3 linked regions of the Cricetulus griseus genome follow. The protein of the gene in region 3 purifies or fractionates together with the protein of the main gene of each other region. This does not show direct contact. Links are inferred from orthologs where the notes say so. Each region holds a gene or a part of one and is shown on either strand. Other genes may lie near its edges.

Region 1 (7,684 bases), on a different chromosome or scaffold from region 3:
TCCCAAGTGCTGAGATTAAAGGTTGTGCTCCCCTATGTCTGACTTAAATAATAGGTTTGGTTGTTATTGTTGTTTTTAAAAATAAACAGAAATATATATTTTCAGCAGTGGCTCACAGACCTTCCCTGCTTTCTGACTACTTTTCTGAACGGTACCTCAAAAGGTATAACTTTTAACAAGACATGGTGCTGCGAGCTTTTCATCTCAGCACTTGGGGTGCAGAGGCAGGCAGAGCCTGTGAGCTTGGGGCCAAGCTGGTCTAAATGGGGAGTTCCAACCCAGCCAGAATTACATACTGAGACCTTCTCTTCTAAAGTGAGTGTTTGTGTCTCCCCCCCTCCCTCTGCCCCTCTTTTTTGCTTTTTCAGGACAGGGTTTCTCTGCATAACAGCCCTAGCTGTCCCGGAACTCATTCTGGAGACCAGGCTGGCCTCTGCCTCCTGAGTGCTGAGATTAAAGGTGTGCACTACCACTGCCCAGCTATATATAATGTTTTAAAATTACGTTCATTTATTTTTCAAATGTGTGTGGCATGGTGTGCATGTGGAGACAGGACAACTTTCATGAATTGGTACTTATTGAGGCAGAGCCCCTTACTGTTTTTGCAGTTCAGCGAGCTCCAGCCTATCGAGCGCCGAAGCTTCTCTTTTGGCCTCCTATCTTGCCACAGGAGAGCTGAGATTACAGGTGTGTCATTGCAGCCCACTTTTTGCATATTCAGGATTTAGAACTCAGGTTGTCAGGCTTGCTCCTCATGCCCTCTATTTCTTCTGGCCAATAAACATTTCTCCTCCTCCTCCTCCTCCCCCCCCCTCCTCCTTCTTCCTCTGTGAAACCCTGGCTGTCCTGGAACTCACTCTGTAGACCAGGCGCCACCAATGCCCAACTCCCAATAAACACTTTTACAAACAAGTGAACAAATAGACTGGAGGGATAGCTCAGGGCTTAAGAGAGCATGATGCTCTTACAGATCTAAGTTAGGGTTGCAGAATCAACATGGCAATTGCCTGAGGAAAACTGCCTGTAACTCCAGCCCTAGGGGAATCTCCAGACCTCCTCTGACTCTGAAGGAACCTGAACTCAAGCACATACTACACAAGGACACATAGTTTTTAGGAAACTAAACAAAAAGTCTCTCTAGCAGGTTTTAGACCATGGTGTGTGATCCATATGAAGAATAGTTAAGTCACAGGGAAGGATGAACCCTGTAATCAGGGAGGGACACAGAGCTGGGGGAGAGGAGAGAAGGCAGGACATCTTTTTAAATGTGGCCATGAATGAGGTTTCTTTCTTTCGTTTTTTCCTTTTCGTTTGTTTTGCTTTTTTCAAGACAGGATTTCTCTGTGAAGACCTGACTGTTCTGGAACTCACTCTGTAGATAAGGCTGGCTTTGAACTCTGCCTACGAGTACGAGGATAAAAGGTATGTGTCATCACCACCCAGCTTAGGTTTCTTTCTTTAAAACACACATGTATGTGTATGCCCCTGGCTACGTGTGTGTGTGTGTGTGTGTGTGTGTGTGTGTGTGTGTGTGTGTGTGTGTGTAGGGTATAACTCTTGGGACATGTGAGATAACAGCCTGACTCCATTCTAACATTAGAAGCTATTCCTGTTTTCTGTAAAACTTAAATGTTTACCAGGTCTTGACCCATTTTCTGGAATTTGACATGTTCCACACCCTAATCTCCACCCTGATAAGATGTCCTGCCAAATAATTTTGGAATATTCAGCCAAGTTCCTATATAACCAAAGTTCCTCTGAAAATCTTGCAGGTTTAGGGGGCTATATAAACCTCACCTCCTCCTGTGTTCTGTACTATTTTCTCAAGCCCCTCTTAGGGAGATAGCCCTGACCGAAAATAACGCTTGCTTAACTTGACCAAAGATTTTGGGTAATGGTCTTTACTCTCATTTGGTGGGATTAACAGTTAAGCCTGTCCTACTATGAAGGTCCCAGGGCTCCACGTCAGATAGTTTGACTTGCTGAGCCATCTTGCTGGCCTCCGTGAAGTTTCTTACAGGCTAAATGGAGACAATCATGTGGCTGTACAGGGAACATTTTCATTTATTTTATTTAATTTTTTGAGGCCTGGAATTAGCTATATAGACCAGGCTGGACTCGAACTCACAGAGATCCTCCCATTTCAGCCTCCTGAGTGCTGAGAGTAAATCGCCACACCTGGAGAGTTTTAATTTTTTTCTGGGGGTGAGGTGCCTGGAGAGACAGTCATGGGTGCTGGGAATCCAACTCTTATATTTTTGGTTGTAAGCCTAGCTTTTAACAGCTGAGCCATCTCTCTAGCACAGTTTTCATTTCTTATAGAAATTAACTGTAAGCATTAAGATGGATCAGATGGACAGGGATTCTGGCACAGAATACTGAGTGTTATAAGACAGATGGAAAGGTATTCTGGTAATCGGGAGTCAAGGAATACCACAGGTCACAGTAAGCATAGCTGCTTACAGCTCTGCTTCAGGGAAAGGCTTCCCAGTGTATCAGCTCTGCTCTGGAAGGAGAGAGTCCTCGGCTCCAGCAGGAGATGGTTTCTGCTGTGAAGTTGTTACAGTTCCACTCGGGTCCCCTGGAGAGCCGAGTGTAACAAGTCCACTTAGACCTGCTCCGCTCTACTCTGCTCTGCTCTGGGTGCAAAGGTCTCACCCAAACCATATTCAGGAGATTTGCTGGGAGGGAAGAATGTGGGAGAGTGGCTGCCGCGCAGAAGGCAGCAGCAATAAGATGGACAGACACAGGGTTTATGTAGGGATTCTTGAGGGGGGGGGGCAGAGCTTTTCCAGGGTGGGGATTGTTCAGATTTCAATCCCTGAGCTCAGACTGCTGCATCTCCTGCTCAGGGATTGGTTAGTTTTCCGACCAGGTTTAAGGTCAGATTTGGCTTTGTTTTCAGAGCCAAAGTGTGTTCACTTCACTGGTCCTTTTAGCCTTTTGGCTCTAGTTTTAGGGCCAGGATGCATTTCTTTCACTGGCTCTGATTCCAGGGACATCTTTGGCTGGCCCATTTTCCCTACAATAACCCCACGAGGTCCTGGCTGACCTGGAACTCAAGAGATCTCCAGCCTCTTGACTCTGGATTACAGGTGTATGCTACCAGGCTCTTCCTAACTGGGGGTGGAGCAGCAGTACTGTGAATTTCGGAGGTGTGCACACTGCGTGTCACCACGGAGCACCAACGTCGAAAGCATGACTTGCACCACAGCAACTAAATCTCAGCATCTAAATCTCCCGCCAAACGGCAGTTTGGCGGGAATAGCGGGTTGACGAACATGGGAAATGATGTAACAGTCGCGCACTTGATAAGGGTAGTTTTATACGCCCCGGAAGCGTTGTTTTAATTGGTTGCTTTCTTGAAAACGGTCCTATCGGAGTTTTGCCCTCAGTAAAGGTGGCGGCTCAGGCTTCCGTCCCTTCTTGGGGCCGTGCGTTTTTCTGCAGCGGGTCTCCGATACCAGAAAACGCGGAAGAGTCGTGGGTTCTGATTGGCCGAAGCGAGATGTATCTTGGGCGCTGATTGGCTCGCCTTTCGCGGGAAGGAGTTTGTGGCGCCAGTGTAAAGTAGATACAACACCGGCACGCCTGAGCGCCCAACAGTTGTGAGGTGTTCGTCGAGCCGTCCGGACCGGGGTTTCTTGGGCCTCTCTCTCTCTCAGGAAAGCAGCGACCAGGATGTGGAATAGTAATGGCGGGCGAGCGGGGGAGGAGGCCGCGAGCCGCGCGAGGGAGTCGGGAGTGGGCGAGTGTCGCGCGGAGGGGGCAGGGCCGCCGAGAGGCCCGAGGTCCGAGCGGCGGCGTTCGAGGGGTCGGGGAAGGCGGGCGGCGGGGCCGCGGCGGGGGACGCAGGCGCTAACAACTGTCGTTCGCAACCAGGCGGGTTCGAGAGCTTCGGCGGCGGCTCCAGCTATGGCGGAGCGGGCGGCTACACGCAGTCCGCCGGCGGCTTCGGCTCGCCCACACTGTCTCAGGCAGAGAAGAAATCGGTACGCGGAGTGACCGCCCCGTCCCTGAGAGAACGTGTTTTTGTGGGGGAGGGTGGCACCCTCGAGCTTGTCCCGGACCTGTCCGTTATCTAGCCTGTCTCTAGTACGGTGAAGTGTGTTCTTAAAAAAAAAAAAAAAGCTAAATTGTGTGGCAAGTGTGCTGTGGTTTGCCGGGCCTCACCTCTCCTGCTCGTACCACGCGACACTGCTTTTTTTTCTTATTTTTTTGAGACAGCATTTCTCTGTGTAGCCTTAGCTGTCCCGGAACCGGCTCTGTAGACCAGAGGTCCTTCTGTCACTGCCTCCCTAATACTGGGGTTAAAGCGCCACCACCACCACCCGGCTGGAAAAGTATGCTTTAGCAGACTTAAATGTCCCGGTCGTCAGCCCTCAGGCCACGGTTGGGACTACCAAATCCCGGAAGGGCAAGAGCCTGCTGTGTTGAGAACAGATTTTAGGTTATTTCCTGTTGATATTTAACAGGAAGGACACTGTCTATAATCTGCTGTGCTTTGGCTGCCTTGTACATATTGCTTGTATGAGACTGAGAGTTTGGGGGGTTGGTTTTTTTTTTTTTTTTTTTTTTTTTTGAGACAGGCTCACAGTGTAGCCCTGCCTGACCTGGAACTCAGAGATCCCCTGAGAACTCTTGACTCTGGTGCTGGGATTAAAGGTGTATGCTGCCAGGCTCTTCCTAACTGGCGGTGGAGCAGCAGGTAGTCCTGCCACTAACGGAATACTTGCCTTTTATCTGTAGTGACTGTTCTTTGTTCTTTACTTTTTGCTTTATTTTTTTGAGGTGTGGTGTGAAATGTTTCTGAGATCCCAATAGGGCATTTCATTCTGTATTGTATCAGGATGAGGTTTGTTATTTACATTAGTGCTTCTGGTAAGTCAGAAATAATGTCAAGTTGAAGGCATGTCTTTTGTGATGTTTTGTTTTAGTTTCGAGACAAGTTTCCACTAATCTATCTGTGGGTGGCCTGGAACTTATTATATGTAGATCACAGGTGCATGCCACTCTGTTCAGCAACTCTTTTTTTTTTTTTTTTACATGTGTATGTATTTTTCTGCAGTCCAAACTGGCTTTGAACTCCCTCTTCCCAAGTGTTGAGATTACAGACATACATCACTGTAGTTCCGTGGATTCTCAGGACTTTGTGCATGTTAATGCACTCTACTGCCTGGGCCGCATCTCCACCTCCTTTCCCTCATTCCATGTCTATCTGTCTTCCTTCTGTTTTTCTCCTGGCAGTACTAGGCAAAAATGTAAGGTCTGTATTCATTAGGCAGGTGCTGCACCCCATCTTCATCTCCCCTTTTACTTTATTGCTTGCTTGTTGATTATTTTGGAGGGGCAGGAAAGATGATTCAGTGATTAAGAGCACTGGCTGCTCTTCTGGGGGACCTGGGTTTGATTCTGGCATCCAGACGGCATCTCACAACCATCTGTAACTACAATCCCAGGGGATCTGGCATTCTTCTAGCCTGGTCAGACACCAGACTTACACATGGTGTACGGACACATGTGGGCAAAGCACCTATACATTGTGTTACCCTTCTGAGTAAAGTTAACACTGATGTGTGGAAGTACATACCTTTCTATAATCTCAGAATTTGGGAGGCAGACGCAGGTGGGTGGATCTCTGAGTTTGATGCCACCCTGGTATATACACAGAGGAATCTCAAAAAAAAAGTTACATTGCTGGTAGACTGCTCTGAGAGGTAGTTTGAGTCTGTTCACTAAATGCTCTTCTGCCCATTCTATCTTATTCTTCTTCCTTTTAAAATGGCCTGCGAGGCTATACTCACCCCATTTTCTACAGGGACTGCCATCTATTTTATCAGGAAACTTAGAGGATCTCCTAAGTTCCTTTTCTGCTTATCATTTCTCAGGTCTTTTCCCAAAACACCTCAGTGGTGTCCTTACTATAACAGCTTGTTCTTACTATATTTGGAATATGGGTGTGTGGGTGTGTGTGTTTTGGAGACTGTCCTGGAACTCTCTTTGAAGACCAGCCAGGCTGGCCTCGAGCTCACAGAGATCCTCCTGCCTCTGCCTCCTGAGTGCTGGGGTTAAAGGTGTGCACCACCACTGCCAGGCTGGATATGTTCTTTTTACCCCACCCAGAGACAGGGTTTCTCTGTGTAGCCTGGAACTCATGCTGTACACCAGGCTGGTCTTGCAGCCTATGTTGTCCTGCCCCTAGTCTGACCATCTCTTTGTGAACCCACACTATAATACAAATATCTCTTCACCTGGAGTTCTGGCATCTGATCAGTGTAATGATTTGAATTTAAAAGGGTGGCATTTGCCATGTGTAATGGCATACACTTTGAATCTTAGCACTTAGGCAGCAGAGGCAGGGGAATCAAATGCACTATCAGTTAATTTTCTGGCCTTGTTTTCTGTCTCTGACATAAGGAGAATTTGCTTTTGAACATTCGGTGTTGTGTATTTGCACCAAGCATTTAAATACACAACACTGTATGTTCAAATACTTGGTGCATAGCAAATACTAAATGAACCATGTTATCTGTAGGGTTGACTGTTTGCATACTTTTCCTTTTCAGAGAGTCCGATCCCAGCACATTGTGCCCTGTACCATATCTCAGTTGCTTTCTGCTACTCTGACTGATGAAGTGTTCAAAATTGGGAATGTTGAGATTTCACAGGTATTTAAGATTGCTTGGAAGAAATGCTTAGTGATAAGAAATAAGGGGTTGTAAAGATGGCTGTCCAAGCATGAGGACCAGAGATCAGATCCCAATATCCATGTAGAAAACCAGGCTTGATTGCGATTACTCTTGTGCCTGTAACCACAGAACTGTAGGAGTCAGAAACAGGAAGATATGATCCCTTGGACATGCTAGCTCTAGGTTTAATGAGAGACCCTTCTTAAGGAAGGGAAGAAAGCCAACAGTGCTAGACCTGAACACCCAGTGTCCTCAAGCCTTTGCAAGGGCTTGGCACAGTATTTTTTATTTTTTTTGTTTTTTTTTTTTTTTTTTCAAAACAGGGTTTTATCTGTGTAATAGCTCTGGCTGTCCTGGAACTCACTTTTTGGACCAGGCTAGCCTCCAACTCTTGTTTGCCTCCCCTGTCCTGGAATTAAAGACTTGAGCCACCATGCTTACTCCCCCCCACCCCATTTTTTCTTTATTATTCTTTTGGCTCTTTGGGGTGCCTGCCACCTACCTCCCAAATAAATAACACACAGATTTCTTGTTACTTATGAATATCCCTTCTTAGCTTGGCCTGTTTCTAGCCAGCTTTTCTTAAATTATCCTATCAATCTTTTGCTTCTGGGCTTTTACCTTTTGCTATTTCTTTTTTTGTTTTGTTTTGAGACATGGTTTCTCTGTAGCTTTGGAGGCTTCCTGGAACTAGCTGTTGTAGACCAGGCTGGCCTCGAACTCACAAAGATCCACCTGCCTCTGCCTCTGCCTCCGCAGTGCTGGGATTATAGGTGTGAGCCACCACCTCCCGGCTACCTTTCTCTATTTCTATGTATCTTTTCTTTCTTATTCCATGTGTGGCTGCTTGTCTGGCCCCTTGTTTTCTTGATCCTTGGTCTTCCTAGATTTCTCCTATTCTCTCTGCCTGCCAACCTCACCTGTTTCTCCTGCCTAGCTATTGGCTATTCAGTTCTTTATTAGACCTGTTGGGTATTTTAGACAGGCAAAGTAAT
Region 2 (7,684 bases), on a different chromosome or scaffold from region 3:
TAAGATGGCTTAGCATGTAAAGGTACATGCTGCCAGATCAGATCTGAGTTCCATTCCTATGACTGACATAGTGGAAGGAGACCATCAAGCCTCAGAAGTTATCGTCTGACCTCCACATGCACTATGCTGTATATGACTCTCCCTCTTGATAAATAAATTAATGTAAAAAATTTTTTATGAGAGGTATGGTGGCGTATACTTATAATTTGGAAACTGAGGCAGGAGGCAATTCTAGATTCTTAGACTCTTTCTCACAAACTAAACCAACATAAAGCTTTTAATCTTTAAAAGGACTCACCTTTTAATTTGTAAGAAAACCCTTTAAAGTCGAACTTGCCAAATGTAATTAGTTTTTTTAAACTTTTGTTTGTTTATTTATTTATTTACTTATGGTTTTTCGAGACAGGGTTTCTCTGTGTAGCTTTGGAGCCTATCTTGGCACTCTCTCTGTAGACCAGGCTGGCCTCAAAATGCAATTAGTTTAAGTGTCAACACTGACGGTATTCTACTGCTTAAAAATGAAAATCTAATGACATTACTAGTTTTGGGGATGGGGTGGGGGAGAAAGGATCTTAAATGCCAGCGCAGGAATCTGACCTGCAGATTTTATAAATGTGCACTCAAAATGGTAACGTGACTATTTAATACTTGAATTAAAGTTACTCCAAAATAAGATGTGTTATAAGATACATATTGGATTACTAATACTTACACACATAAAAAGTTAACATTGCATTAATAATCTTATATCAGTTACATATGAACATGCTATTATTTGGATATAATGAGTTAATACATAGCCTATAAAACATTGCTAGCTTAATTTTACTTCTTTTTAGAATGTGTTGACTACAAAATTTTAAATAATTACATATGTAGCTTCTACTATAGTTCCATTAAACTACTAATCCAGATCTTCAGAAAATCTGTAGCAGAGCTTCTTTAAGACACAAATTCTTTGGAAGGAAGGAAGGAAGGAAGGGAGGGAGGGAGGGAGGGAGGGAGGGAGGGAGGAAGGAAGGAAGGAAGGAAGGGAGAAAGAAATTAATTCTGAATGGGCATGGTGGCATAAACCTTAACCCCAGGACTCAATAAGCAGAGGCAGGTGAATATTTGTGAGTTTCAGGACACTAGGCCTAAATTACAGAGAGACCCTGTCTCAAACACACAAACAAAACACAAATTCTAAGCATAGAAAGAAAGACTATAATTAAGACTTAAGAGCCACATCAAATAATTACAATTTGTGATCATCATCCAGATCTCAAATGACATTAGTAATCTTAAATTGATAATGGTACTATGGTCATATTTTAAAGTCTCAAACATGTTTCCGTAGTGTAGCAGCTATCACATTTGTGTCATGCATATAAAGTCCTGGGTTCAAACCATCTTCTTGCTCATGGTACATGGGTAGACAACTCATTATTAAGAGCAACTGCTGCTCTTGTAGAGGATCTTGGTTTAGTTCCCAACCCCCACACTGTTACTCACAACGATCCATAAATCCAGTTCCAGGGGATCCAACGACCTCTTCTGACCTCGGAGAGCATCAGGCACACACAAGGTACATACACATACATGCAGCCAAAATACTTACACACACAAAATAAAGTAAATAAATATATAAAAGAAGTCTCTGTTCTTTACTGGTAATTATTGACATAGATGAAATGATGTCTGGGATTTAATGCAGAATAATAAGTTCTGGGAGAAAGAAGGCTATGAAGGAGGAAATCAATATATAATTTTTTCTTCTTTTGTTGTATTTGAAGATGTTCATGTTAAAAAGTAACAAAAATGCTAAGAAATATATAGGCACACACACACTCTCATTCTTAGGGATAATTAAGAAAAAGTATTAGAGAGAAATACAAAGTGGCAGAGCATTTGCTACCACATGGGAGACCCTGGGTTCAATCAACACTTGGAAAAAAATTGAGAAAAAAATTCAACAGAATCATTCCCTAAAATTCTGAATGAATTCAGCTTCAGCTCTGTGACTTTATATAAAATCACCACAAAACAGATAATGAAAATTTAATAGAGTCTGTGCTACAACCCATGATGACAATTATTCTTAGAATCAATGCAAAGTTACTGAGCACCTATAATGCATCAGGCAATATACAAAAAACTAATGTTGAGAAAGAAAAGCAGCTCGGAGGAGACTTGATAAGTTAGGGTAGACTGTGAGGCCGTTTACCAAACAGTCAACATATGAAGCACAGAACTGGGAGAAAAGTAAAACCAGCTGAAATATTCTTTGAGTTTTCAAGGCAATAACTAATAAGTGAGATATCTATGAGATACATGGATACTTCTAGATCTTAAGATATACAGAGCTGGCCGGTGGTGGGGCATGCCTGTAATCCCAGCACTCCAGAAGCAGAGGTAGGTGGATCTCTGCGAGTTCATGGCCAGCCTGGTCTACAGAGCAAGTTCCAGGACAGGCTCCAAAGCTACACAGGGAAGCCCTGTCTTGAAAACAAAAACAAACAAAGATGAATAGAGATACAGTCAATATGCATGAAATAAGACTAAACATTATTGTCAATGCTACTCCAACTCATAGGCAACAAGATAGGATATTAAACCTAATTTGGATCTGAGAGAGATGACAGTTCTGGAAGGTAAATAACACAGATCCTATTAGGGGAAGCCTGGGATACAAATGCAGTTGTAATTAATAACAACAACAGAGAGACACCTAAGATGAAGTTAGAAAAGACATAAGGAGACATAGAAAGGCCAGACTGTTAGGAATCATAATGTAAATATTTTTGTGGAGGCAGGCTTGCCAAAGGGGCCATGACCCACAGGTTGAGAACCACTGGTTTAGTATAAAATCTATGCTGTGCATGTTAAAATTTCTTTCCTTTTCACACTGAATAATATTATCTATATTTATGTCACATCTGGGAAGGTTATGTCTACTTATCTGTTGGTGAACATTTGCTTCCATCATTTAGGTATTGTGTGAACAGTGCAGCTATGAAATAGTGTAAAAATATCTGTTCAAATCTCTGCTTTAAATTCTTTTGGGTATATATTTAAAAAAAATCGCTGGGTTATAGGTTAATTCCATATTTATTCCCTTCCTTCTTTGTAGCACACTCACTCATTCCATTTTCCACAGTGGTTAAGTTATATCATTTTACTTTCCCCATATCCTTACCAAGTATTTTTTATAAAAAAGTTATTTTTATATATACAATATATAATTTTTATATATACAATAGTTATAATGGTCTAGAAATGGTATCTCCTAGGCCTGGAGAGATGGCTCAGAGGTTAAGAGCATTGGCTGCTCTTCCAGAGTACCGGAGTTCAATTCCCAGCAACCACATGGTGGCTCACAACCATCCGTTATGAGATCTGGTGTCCTCTTCTGGCATACAGACATACATGCAGGCAGAACACTGTATATATAATAAATAAATCTTTTTTAAAAAAAATGGTATCTCCTTGTTTTGTTTTCGTTTGAGGTGGGTTGAGACAAGGTTGAGACAAGGTCTCATCACATAGCCCCTTTTAACTCTTTGGTAGCCCAAGCTGTTCTCAAGTTCAGTGAGCCTCTTGCCTTGGCCCCCCAAGCTATCCCATCAGCTTCCTTGAGATTTTAATTTGTGTCTCCTGTACTACTAATCATTTCAAACACCTATCTTTTCATTTGCTTGGTAGCCATTTTTATACCATCTTTGGAGAAAAATATGTTCAATTTCCTTACCTACTTTTTCAACAAATTGAGGTGTGTGTTTTTTTTTTTTATGTTGTTGAGCTATATACGTTTTTTTAGTATAGTAACAGCTGTTAAACTCTTTTAAATTTTTAATTATTTTTTAAGTCTGTATGTGTGTACCTGTTCATTTGAGTACAGGTGCATATGTTGAGGTCATCTCAGTGAAACAACAAAATTTGTATTATCAGTTTCCCAAAATTCACCATCTCTACTCACACTTCTAGAAAGACAGCAATTACTAGATGCTCCCATAAAGTATATTTGCCACAATTAGGCAAAGTGAAAAAAAAATCACAGCGATGATGCAGTTAGGACAAACAAAAGTGGTCTTTTCGTTTATCCTCCAATTTAGGTTTTTGACATGACCAGCAGGAGGAAATGAACACGGCTGATATTCCACAGACTTAAGGTTAGCACTGACTTTTCGTGCAACGTTTCTAGTTTAAGAAATCGAAAAGCAATGGTCTCCTGAGAGAGGGAAGCGACGAGGGGCGTGGCAAGCACTAGCTCTTCAGATTGCAACCTGGTTTTCACTAGCCTCTAGGGGTAGACAGACACAAGGCATTTGGTTTTTGTTTTGTTTTTGTTTTTTCCTCCCTCGCCTTTTTGACCTGGCTGGCTCAAGGTCCGCCAGCCTCGGCTTCCCGAGTTCTGGGATGAAAGGCGAGCGACGCTCCGTCAGGCCGGAGAGGGGCGTTTACAAATGGAATACCAACTTAGTTTGGGGGAGCGCTGTGCACGTTACTCTGTGGACCTGGGGCCAGGCCCTCGGATTTCTGACTAAAATAACGGGCCGGTCAACTCGGGGACGGGGTGGGGGTGGGGCCACATCTTTAGGCCGACCGAGCCCTTTTAGCCATTGATTCGCCTCGCTGAGAAGAGGGGCCGTGATTCTGACACAAAACCTAAGCCAATGAACTCCCCCGGCAGCGACGAGAAGGAACAGAACCGAGGGAAGGTTTTCCAGAAGCAAACGAGTGTGCGGCAAACGAGTGTGCGGCAATGACCACAAGAGGCCCTTCACGCGAAGCAGAAACTCGCGTGGGCACGACACGCGCGCTGCACAGCCGCTCGCTGCCCGGCCACCCCGCTTGCACGAAGCACCGCGCTCCCGCCAACGGCCGCTGAGGGGAAAGCGCCCCGCAGGCCGCGGCGCCGGCTGAGGAGACGCGGCGTCCAGCGTCGCGAGGCTGGCTACCACGCGCGGCCCTACCTGCCCAGCTCCCGCAGGGCGGGGATCATGGACGCCAGCTCCAGCCCGTGGTCGCCCATGCTGACACCGTGCGGCTCTCAAAACAGCCGCCGCCAACGTAGGGCTTTCTCCACAGCCTCCTCCGGAGAAAGCGGAGCGCCGACGGGAGCCCGCGCGGGCCAAAACTCCTCCCGGAAGCCGCCGTCGGCCGCGACCCGCAGGCTCTTGTTTCGGTTCCTGTTAGGACCTGGGGGGAATCCCCGGGGCGGCAGGGGCGGAGCCGGCAGCGGACGTGCCCGCCCAATTCTCCTCCCCCCGGAGTGCGTGACCTTCGGCGGGTATTTTTGCTTTGGAGATGCTCGAACCTGGATGCTCAGGGAAGCGGGAGCCCAGGATCTGGGTTGCAGAGGGACCTGACGACGCGACAGTTAAAGTTATACATTTCACTATGTCAGAATTACGTAGTTAACTGCGGAAGGCCACTCAGTAGGGCTTTCATTTGCTGTCTGGCACATAAAGATAATTACTGATACAGCCTCCAAAAATAAAATTAAAAAGTGGTGGAGTGGCAGCCAGGTGTGCTCCAGACTCCAGGATCCGAATTTGCTGTACCTTGACCACTCTTCCCTCTGCGCCTTTTCCTTTAGATATCCCTTGATGAAGTGGCATGAGTCTTATACAGGCCAGTAACATAAACTCGCCCCCCCACACACACACCCCAGCCGACCCCACCCCACCCCCGTCTTCACCTTGTTTTGTTTCTCTTCATAGCACTTAAAACCTAACGACACTGATTGTGTCTTAGAATATAAGGTTTTGAAAACAAGGTCTTTGTTTATTTTGCCTATTGCTGGCACCCCATGAACTGAAACAGTGCCTGGACATAGTTCATGTTTAGTAAACATTTTTAATGAATTATTGAATGTTAGAAAAAACGGGATTAGGAGTTATGAACCCTGAAAAAATTATCATTACACTTGCTAGAAGCTATATGGCCTCAAGAAAGTACTTAATCTCTTTTTATTTCCATTTTTTCTCATATCCCAAGAGTACAGTAATGGTTAAGAGGTAACAAGAGTCAGACAATAGAATGTCATTTATTTCCATTGCTACTTTCCCCTCTTTCTCTTTTCTCCCTCCCTTTGTTTGTTTTTAAGTCAAATTTCACTATGGCTCCCTGGCTGGTCCTGATGAAGAATCCCATTCCCCAGCCTTGAAATGCTGGAATTACAGGTATGAGCCACTACGAATGGCATGATTATACTTCTAAAAGCTTAAATTATAAGTCATTATTCTGGCTACCATTTTTCTTTATTTTTTTATTTGAATTAGAAACAAGATTATTTTACATCAATCCCAGTTCCCTTCTCCCTCCCCTCCTCTCCCACCCCCCCCACCCCCGACTAATACCCTACCTATCATATCCTTTCTGCTCCCCAGGGAGGGTGAGGCCTTCCATAGGGTGTCATCAGAGTCTATCATATCCTTAGGGATAGGGCCTAGGCCCACCCTGTGTGTCTTCGCTCAGGGAGTATTCCTCTATGTGGATTGGGCTCCCAAAGTCCACACCTATGCTAGGGATAAGTACTGAACTACTACAGGAGGTCCTGTAGATTTCCGAGGTCTCCTCACTGAAACCCACGTTCCTGGGGTCTGGATCAGTCCCATGCTGGTATCCCAGCTATCATTCTGGGGAGCAAGAGTTCCCCATTGTTCAGGTCAGCTGTTTCTGTGGGTTTCACCAGCCTGGTCTGGACCCCTTTGCCCATCACTTGTTCTTCTCTGCAACTGGATTCCAGTTCAGTTCAGTGATTCGTTGTGGGTGTCTGGGAAAATGGGAATCAGTCTACCACAAGATCCAGCAATTCCACACTTAGGCATAGACCCAAAAAGATGCACATTCATACAACAAGGACATCTGTTCAATAATGTTCATAGCAGCACTATTTGTAATAGCTAGAACCTGGAAGCAACCTAGATGACCCTCAACTAAAGAATGGATAGAGAGCCGGGCGGTGGTGGCACACGCCTTTAAGCCCAGCACTTGGGAAGCAGAGACAGGCGGATCTCTGTGAGTTCGAGACCAGCCTGGTCTACAAGAGCTAGTTCCAGGACAGGCTCCAAAGCCGCAGAGAAACCCTGTCTCGAAAAACCAAAAAAAAAAAAAAAAAAAAAAAAAAAAAAAAAAATGGATAGAGAAAATGTGGTACATTTAGACAATGGAGTACTACTCAGCAGAAAAAATCAATGGAATCTTGAAATTTGCAGGAAAATGGATGGAACTAGAAGAAACCATTCTGAGCCAGGTAACCCAATCACAAAAAGACAAATGTGGTATGTACTCATATGTGGAATTTAGACATAAAGTATTACCAGCCTACAATCCACACTGCCAGAGAAGCTAGGAAACAAGGAGGACCCTAAGAGAGACATACATGGTCCCCTGGAGAAGGGGAAAGGAACAAGATCTCCTGAGCAAATTGGGAGCAAGGGAGATGGGGGGAAGGAACTAGGAAAATGAGAAGGGGAGAAGAGGAGGGGTGTGGAGGACATGAGGGAGCAGAAAGGTTGAGTTGGGGGAAGAATAGAAGATAACAAGAATGGAGATACCATAATATAGGGAAACATTTTAGGTTTACAGAGAAATCAGGCACTAGGGAAAGGTCTGGAGATCTACAAAGATTATACCAACTAACAATCTAAGCAACAGATGAAAGGCTACCTTAAATGCAACCCCTGATAATGAGTCT
Region 3 (7,684 bases):
GCTTGACCAAAAATTGCTTTTATTCCCCGTGGAATATGATAGCTTGTTTTCCTGATGCCTGTGTGCCCAGCCTTTTAAATTTTAGCTATTCTAATATGATCTTTAACATTTTACTGATTGAGCATCTTTGTTTATATATTTCTATTCTGAAGGCCCTGTTCTAAGCACTGCCCCTTCTATCTTCTTACCAAGACATTCTTAATACATTTTATATATGGGCCTAAATTAGAGGTTTTGTTACTCTGATAAAAAATACCAGAGAGAAACAATTTAAAAGGGGAAGGCTTTATTTTTGACTCATAGTTTCAAATCATAGTTAGCAGGTTCCACTGTTGGGGAAAGGAGGCTGAACATCATGGCAGAGGGGAGAGGGGCACAATAGCTACATCATTCAAACACATGTCCCGTAAACCTACTTCATCCAAAAAGGTTCCATCTCCTATTTTCATCATCTCCCAACAATGCCTTCAAATTATAAACCTGATGGTAGGTTAATCCACTCACTGAGCCTGAGGCCCCATGATCCAAACATGTCGCCAAGGCCCTACCTTTGAACTCTGTTAAATGTTTGAATTATATTGATGCAAACTATATGTGTGTATACATATAACACACACACACACACACACACACACACACACACACACACACACACATATGTATAAGTTTTTACTTAATATTTTTCTTTTTTGAGACAAAATCATTCAGTGTAACCCAGATGGCCCAAATTCTCAATTCTCCTGCCTCAGCCTCCTGAGTGCTGGGAGGGTTACATGTGTGGTCCACCATTCCATCTGGTTGTAGTATTTTCCCCCAAAGTCCTTTTGTTATTATTCAGATGGTTCACATTTGTATTAAACAAGCTATATTTATGTGGAAACCTGTGGAAGGGCTATTTATTCTATTCATTTATTTGTCTATCCCTTCACCACTAGAATGCCATCCTAACTCTTAACTGCTCTAACTCATGACACTTGGGAGATATCCAACTTTATCATTCATTATTCTTCAGGAGACCAATAGTTTCTTGGTTATCTTCTTTCATTTTCACTTACATGCATACCTTAGAATAAAGCTATCTTCCCTTTCTGCATGCATCACCCTGTTCTGAGAGTCTAAGGCATCAGTGCTGACTCTAGACAAATTTGGGAAGAACTGGCCCTGTAATAATGGTGATACAGCCATGAACACAGCATAACCTATTTTGCTCTTCAGTTTATTTCAAAGTGTTTTATAGTTCTCTCTGTATGTAGAGCTGCACTCTTTAATTTCACTATTTATTGCAAATCATATTCTCTTAAAACTTAGAACTTTGTTCATTACTAATCTACTAAAGTACAACTGACACTTGAGTTTCACTTTGTATTGGGAATAGAATAAAAAGGCCATACCTACATTGATTCTAAAAGGCTGACTGATTAGGGGCCTACACCTGTGATCGATTCTAGCACAAGCAAGGATGAGGCAGGAAGACGAGGAGTTCAAAGGCAGACTGCATTATATAAGGGGTGCAGACTGTGCTACATAAGACATTGTCATAAAAAAAAAAAAAAAACATGGACACACTCTGTGATGAGGATAACTGGAATGGTGTAGATATAAAACCAAATAATCTTTACACCTATCATTAGTGTCCTAACTAGCCACAAATTGCCCAGCTTTCCGTCAGGCTTAACATCCTGTTGTCTATCAGGTAAAACCTTTGGAATACATTATTAACTATCCTTACCTACAGCCCATGGAAAATTATCCCCTGCTTTGCTCTAACCCGCCTATCTCCTATTGTCCCCAACAAAGCGTCTGAGAAACACTTCCTTTGTTTTGTTCTGTGACTGTTAAAGCTTGTGTAAATCCTTTTATGTTGAGACATGTTTTTTCAGGATAACCTGAATCAAGCTCCCTGGCCATGATAATTATTTCGTTCAAATTAAATGCTGCCTTATTCCCATTGAGAGGACAGTTTTCAGCAACCGTTAGTTTATTAAAAATTAGTAAGTTTTCCTACATTTTGGATTTTTCTACCCACATAACATATCTGTGAGCTGTCATTTTTATTCCCTCCAAAAATATACCCCCCCTTTTTTTTAAATCAAATTACCGAATAACATACCATCATATCAATCTTGGAAATACACAATTTAAGTTGTGTCTCAGTTAGGGTTTCTATTGTTGCAATGAAACACCATGACCAAAAAGCAAGGAGAAGAAGGGGTTTATTTGGCTTATACTTCAGCATTGCTGTTCATCACTGAATGAAGTCAGGACAGGAACTCAAACAGGGCAGGAACCCAAATGGGAGCAACCCTCCCCTAGGTTGCTCAGTCCATTTTCTTGTAGAACCCGGGACCAGCAGCCCAGGTTTGGCACCACCAACCAAGGGGCGGTCCCTTCACCGTCGATCGCTAAATGAGAAAATGCCTTCTTTACAGCTAGATGTCAAGGCCATTTCCTCAACTGAGGTTCCTTCCTCTGATGACTAGCTTGTGTCAAGGTGACACACAAAACCAGCCAATGTATGCTGTATACTCAGTAAAAATCTGCCATTGCATTGGACCTCTTTACTACCTCCCAACCACTTATCTAGAGAAGACTTTTGCAATCCCTCCTAAACCAGTGAAGCTGCAGACCTTCCACAGAGGAAGCTTCCTAGCTGGAACTGCCTCGGCCCCGAGCACTGAAGGTAGCCTCCGAAATCCCGCCCCTCAATCCCGCAGCCAATCATCGTCAGGCTCGTAACCCTGCCCCTAGACAGACGCAGCCAATCAGCGGCAGCGTCTTTTGCGCGCCCTGCTTGCGAAGATGGCGGTGTGTGTTGGCGCGCAGGCTGTGTGCGGAGCCGTTTCACAGCTCCCCGGCACCGGAATGTGAATGCGGCTGGAGGAGGGTGCCACCGGGATGAGTCGGCGAAGGAAGCATGCGGGCAGCCCTGCCAGGAGGAGCACGCCGCGCAAGGCGGCTGCCGAGGACGGCTGCCCGGCGGTGGAGACGGAGTCCCGCCGCTCCAGGCCCCGCGACTCCCGGCTCTGCAGGGCCGAAGCGCGGCCTTTGCGGCGGGAGCAGCGCCGGTGGGCGGCTGACGGCGGGCGGAGCCCCGGAGGTGAGGGGACGGCGGGCGGGGAGCGGAGCCCCGGGCTGGCGGGTGCTGAGGAGAAGGAGTGGAGCTCAGCCCAGGCGTCGGAGGGGCGGGAGGCTTAGGCTGCAGAGCGGAGTCCCCGGGAACTGGCGGCGTTGGTTGTTTTCTGGTTGACTGGTTCTGGGCGGGGCCTGTGCCTTGGACCACCCTGGGCCATTGGTCAACTAAGCTTTTCTCTTTTTTTTTTTCATTGTTTTGCTAAAGGGTCACCTCAAAGCTATTTGCTCCCGGAACTTGCTAGGAATAACATCCGGTTAGAATAGCAAACTAATGGCGCGTTCCTTTCTGATAACTTTTGGTGTTAGATTTTGAAGATTATTAACCTAATAGGTAGCCGACTGATAACCTTTCCGAGAGCGTGTTCTTAAATTACAACTTCTGTCACCTTGCCTGCCTCTGCTATGACAAAACAAGTCTGAGAAAACAATAACATCGTAAAATTTTAAATGATTCTAGACAAAAACTTCCCTAGAAACTAGAAGCAAATCACTGATGTTTTGGGGAGTAGTTCATTAGAGTATAAAATTTGGGTAGAGTTGACAGGAGGGGCTTAAAAGAGTCGAGGGCTTCAGTTTGGATACATTTTGAGGTTTGCAATGTATTAGTAATTCAATGATCAGGTGGTATCATTCCTGGGACCATGGAATCTTTAAAAAAATACTAATACTATGAAATATCAACGCATTATTTTTATTGAAATCTTTCTATTGTGGTTAAAGTAATTGTCTTTAAGAGACAAGTTTTATATTGGACATAAAAAATAATTTAAGCTGCTATCTGACTTTGGCTCTTGTGAAGTAATGCTTAAAATGTGTCAATTGTCATTTTATATAGAAAAGTATGAAACACCAACAAGAGTTCTGAAAACAGATTTATTGTCCTGTGCCTTCAGTTCCCCAAATGATCCAGATGGACAGACCGATATCTTCTGGGATCAAAATTCTCCAATCACCAAACAGTTAGGTAATCTGTTAAGATTTTTATGTGGTTAAATGTTTGATGAAGGTTAGTGATTGTAAAATTTTAGTCGGGTAACATCGGAAACTTCAATACAGTGGGTTTTTTTTGTTTTTCTTTTTTTGAGAATCTGGTATGATTTTTCTCTCTAATTTGCACATTAGTGCAGAGTGATTTAAGTTACATCGATTACAATCATTCTCTAAAAAGTAACAACTGATTTTAAAATTCTTGGTCTAAGATTTATAGAAATGTCTGTTTCTTTAGGGAAAGGAAGAAAAAAGCAGATTTCCAGTACATACACTGATGAGATTTCGCATATTGTCAATCGTATTGCTCCTCAGGTAAAGACAGCAAGTTTCATGATTTATAACTGCATGCTTGTTTCCTTTCATATTCAAAATATGTATTTAGAGCAACAAAGGTTACAGCTAGCCTTTCTGTTTCTGAATGAATGTCTTGAAAAATATGGAACGAATTATAGAATGAATACCAAAGTCTGCAGATTCTGAAGTTTTGTACATAAAATGATATGGTTTTTCATAGTGCCTGTTCATATCCTCCCATATACTGTATTTATTTATTTTTATTCTTTGCAGTGTTGGAGCTCAAACTCACTTCTGCTAGGCAAGTACTCTATCATGAGCTATGCCTCCAGCCCACCCCATATACTTTAAGTCATCTCTAGGTTATTTATTCCTTAGATAAAATAGTTATTTGTTATGCTGTACTATTGGGGGAATATTAAAAAGAAAATGCCTGTATATGTCCCATATTTTTAGTACACTTTTGGTTAGATGTGGAACCTGCAGATACAAGTAGATATTTTGTTTTGATTCTCTTGGAGTAGTAATTGACTAGTTTTATTTTTGTTGTCTTTAATGTATTTACCACCAAGCTGCGTTTTCCACATTATATTTTGAGTAAGTTGTATAGTAGAACAAACAATGTAAATTTAAGTTCTTGTTGTTAGTGCTTGCTGTCTATAGTACATATTTTTCCTGTTGCAGTTGCTCTTACTAGTATTCACTGGCTTATAAAATCACCAAGACAAAGTTTAAAACTGGAAAGGTCACTGGGCTTAGATACAGGCCTAACTAATGCAGCCTCTTCTATGACCCAACACCCCCCACCCCCACCATGTGTCAGTTAATGGTCATAACCTCAGTTCATTTTACTATAAAGTAGAATTATTACCTGCCTTACTGTCTTCAGTGGATTATTAGGGTTAAGTTATATGAAATTTACAAACTATAGAGTGCTATAAATTAATTATGATTTATTTTAATAGACCCATCTTCAAAGATTTTTTTTTCTTTAACTTTTGTGATGTTTGAGTGAAATACAAGTTTTAGTGAATCATTTAATACAAAGGAAACCAGTTAACTATCATTCCTGGTATTATCTTGACACTGTTAGTAAGAAGCATGGTCCAGAACATAACTGTTCTGAGTTTCTTTTCTTTCTTTTCCTTACTTAGTTTATTTTTACATTTTTAAAAGTGTGTGTGTGCGCACACATGAGCATGCACTCTCTTTTGTACAACAGCATGTGTGGAGGTCAGAGGACAACTTGGAAGAGTGAGTTCTCCTTCCACTCTCTTGGTATGATTCATTATATCAACACTTAATTTCGTGAACTACATTTACGGTATAATATTACTACTTTGTATGTTAACAGTAAATCTTCATTAACTAAAGCAAAGAAGCACAGAAAATAGCTTTAGGCTGGTCAGATTGCCTAGCGGTAAAATGTTGAGTGTACAGTTGACACCTTTACTAAACGGGCTGGAAATAGTATCTCTTGTGAAGAAATGGCAAGAGCACTCAAGTGGTAGCTTGAGTCACTGAACATTACGTTGGGATTAGTTTATTCAGTCTTCTCCTACTGAGCATTATTAAAGCAGGTTAATTGTTGGCAGCATTAAGATCTTTTGAAAAGTGTCATACTCATAATTACAAATACTTGAGATTTTCATAGTGATCTTCAGATCATTCAATTTCCTCCTAATGGTTTCAGTTTTAATTTTCTAAGATACACATTTGCATATTAGACAGACATCCCATTTTCTGTAGTGATAACATGCGCTGTGTTTAAGGTGATATCTTTCACCATATATATAACTATACAGGGTGCTCATTATTATCAGTTGAAGGATTAGACAACTTGATGGCACCAAGGATTTACTTAGGAGCCTGTAAATTAAAAGAAGCCCTTACAAGTAGTACATAAATATATAGAGGATTCCTGGTATATAAACTTGAGTGGGCACGTAACTTTGTCATGACTTTTTGAAACTTGTATAAATTTAATTTACTTGTAAATGGACAGATTCCATAATTAAATCGTTATTTGAAAGAGTGTTCAAACAAATGGGAAAATATCTAGTTTGTAAAATGAACTGATATTATTTTGCAAACTTAAAGTTAAGTAGATTTGGGTGTGCATTAAGAAAACTACTTGTTAATTCACTACCAAATTGTAGAGATGTTTTCACTAAAACCTTTAAGTAAGAAAATATAAAACTATAAAACGGCACTTTTTTTTTAAAGTCTCATTTTTCATGGATGTATGCATGCACACACTTTGTAAAGGTCAGAGAACAATTTGTTTTTATCCTTTGAGCCGTCTCCCTGGCCCAGTATGATTTTATACTCACCGTTGTAAATTCTAAGCTCTAGTTAGAATAACTTGTAATCTAGTAATAAGGCCATTTTTAAACTTTGTATGATCTTTTAATAGTAGTTCTCAAGCTTCCTAGTCCTGCAACCCTTTAAAACAGTTCCTCATTTTGTGCTGACCTTCGCCCCTAAATTTATCTTTATAGCTACTTCATAATTTTGCTACTGCTAGGAAGCCTAAATGTTTTTGGAGATAGAGGTTTGCCAAAGGTTGCAACCCATGTGTTGAGAACTGCTGGCTTATAATAATGCTCATTCCATAACTATCATTGTGATTGAGGAACTGAAAAATACAGCAAAAATCAAAACAAGAAAACCATCCTACTCTAAGATAACTTCCTACTTGAAGTTTTTCTGTTTCCCCATTCTTAGCTTTAGCCTTGACCATGCCTTAAAGTCTCTAGTCAGTTCTGACATTACTCTGTGCTCAATTTAAGTCAAAGTGGAGCTCCCAGTTCTTAAAGATCGAGGATAAGAAAATATTGGGGAGTCAGTGCTACAGAAAGAATTCTGAATGTATTTTTATTTTCTGTTCTGATGGTAGTACTTACTTTTTGAGTATCTTACAACAACTGAAATGATCTTTTATGTGTATATAACACCAAAATGTACTTGATAGGGAATGTATATCAAACCCTGGTTTTTATAAATGTGGTTTGAATATTTTTAAAAGCTCGAATATTTCTCCTTTACTTGTGAGGGCATAAATGGATCACAGTTTACAGCCAGTGACTATCTCCAGAATTCTTCTCCTTCCTCTCTACTCTCAACCTCTCCTTTTTCTTGGGGAGGGGGTATTGGTCACTTATTTTATGGTGCTCTTATGTTCTTTTTTCTTTGGTTTCCAAGGATGAAAAACCAGTGACAAACTCCATGCTGGGTGTGTGGATTGGTGACACTGCTATTCCTTGTA

Evidence for each region.
Region 1: the proteins of Etaa1 (region 3) and Rpa2 purify together in Homo sapiens (affinity purification with western blotting; 4 studies listed by BioGRID, with this or other methods). This does not show direct contact. The link is inferred for Cricetulus griseus from reciprocal best matches to the Homo sapiens genes ETAA1 and RPA2.
Region 2: the proteins of Etaa1 (region 3) and Atr purify together in Homo sapiens (affinity purification with western blotting; 3 studies listed by BioGRID, with this or other methods). This does not show direct contact. The link is inferred for Cricetulus griseus from reciprocal best matches to the Homo sapiens genes ETAA1 and ATR.

The regions. Positions count from the first base shown.
Region 1 is NC_048595.1:20,504,627-20,512,310, reverse strand, and holds the start of Rpa2 (replication protein A 32 kDa subunit), read left to right. Parts: upstream 1-3,532; 5' UTR 3,533-3,681; coding exon 3,682-3,691; intron 3,692-3,882; coding exon 3,883-3,992; intron 3,993-6,566; coding exon 6,567-6,668; intron 6,669-7,684. UniProt on the Homo sapiens protein: As part of the heterotrimeric replication protein A complex (RPA/RP-A), binds and stabilizes single-stranded DNA intermediates that form during DNA replication or upon DNA stress.
Region 2 is NC_048597.1:204,495,473-204,503,156, reverse strand, and holds the start of Atr (serine/threonine-protein kinase ATR), read right to left. Parts: upstream 5,015-7,684; coding exon 4,956-5,014; intron 1-4,955. UniProt on the Homo sapiens protein: Serine/threonine protein kinase which activates checkpoint signaling upon genotoxic stresses such as ionizing radiation (IR), ultraviolet light (UV), or DNA replication stalling, thereby acting as a DNA damage sensor.
Region 3 is NW_023276807.1:88,415,351-88,423,034, forward strand, and holds the start of Etaa1 (ewing's tumor-associated antigen 1), read left to right. Parts: upstream 1-2,769; 5' UTR 2,770-2,868; coding exon 2,869-3,097; intron 3,098-3,967; coding exon 3,968-4,096; intron 4,097-4,357; coding exon 4,358-4,434; intron 4,435-7,620; coding exon 7,621-7,684. UniProt on the Homo sapiens protein: Replication stress response protein that accumulates at DNA damage sites and promotes replication fork progression and integrity.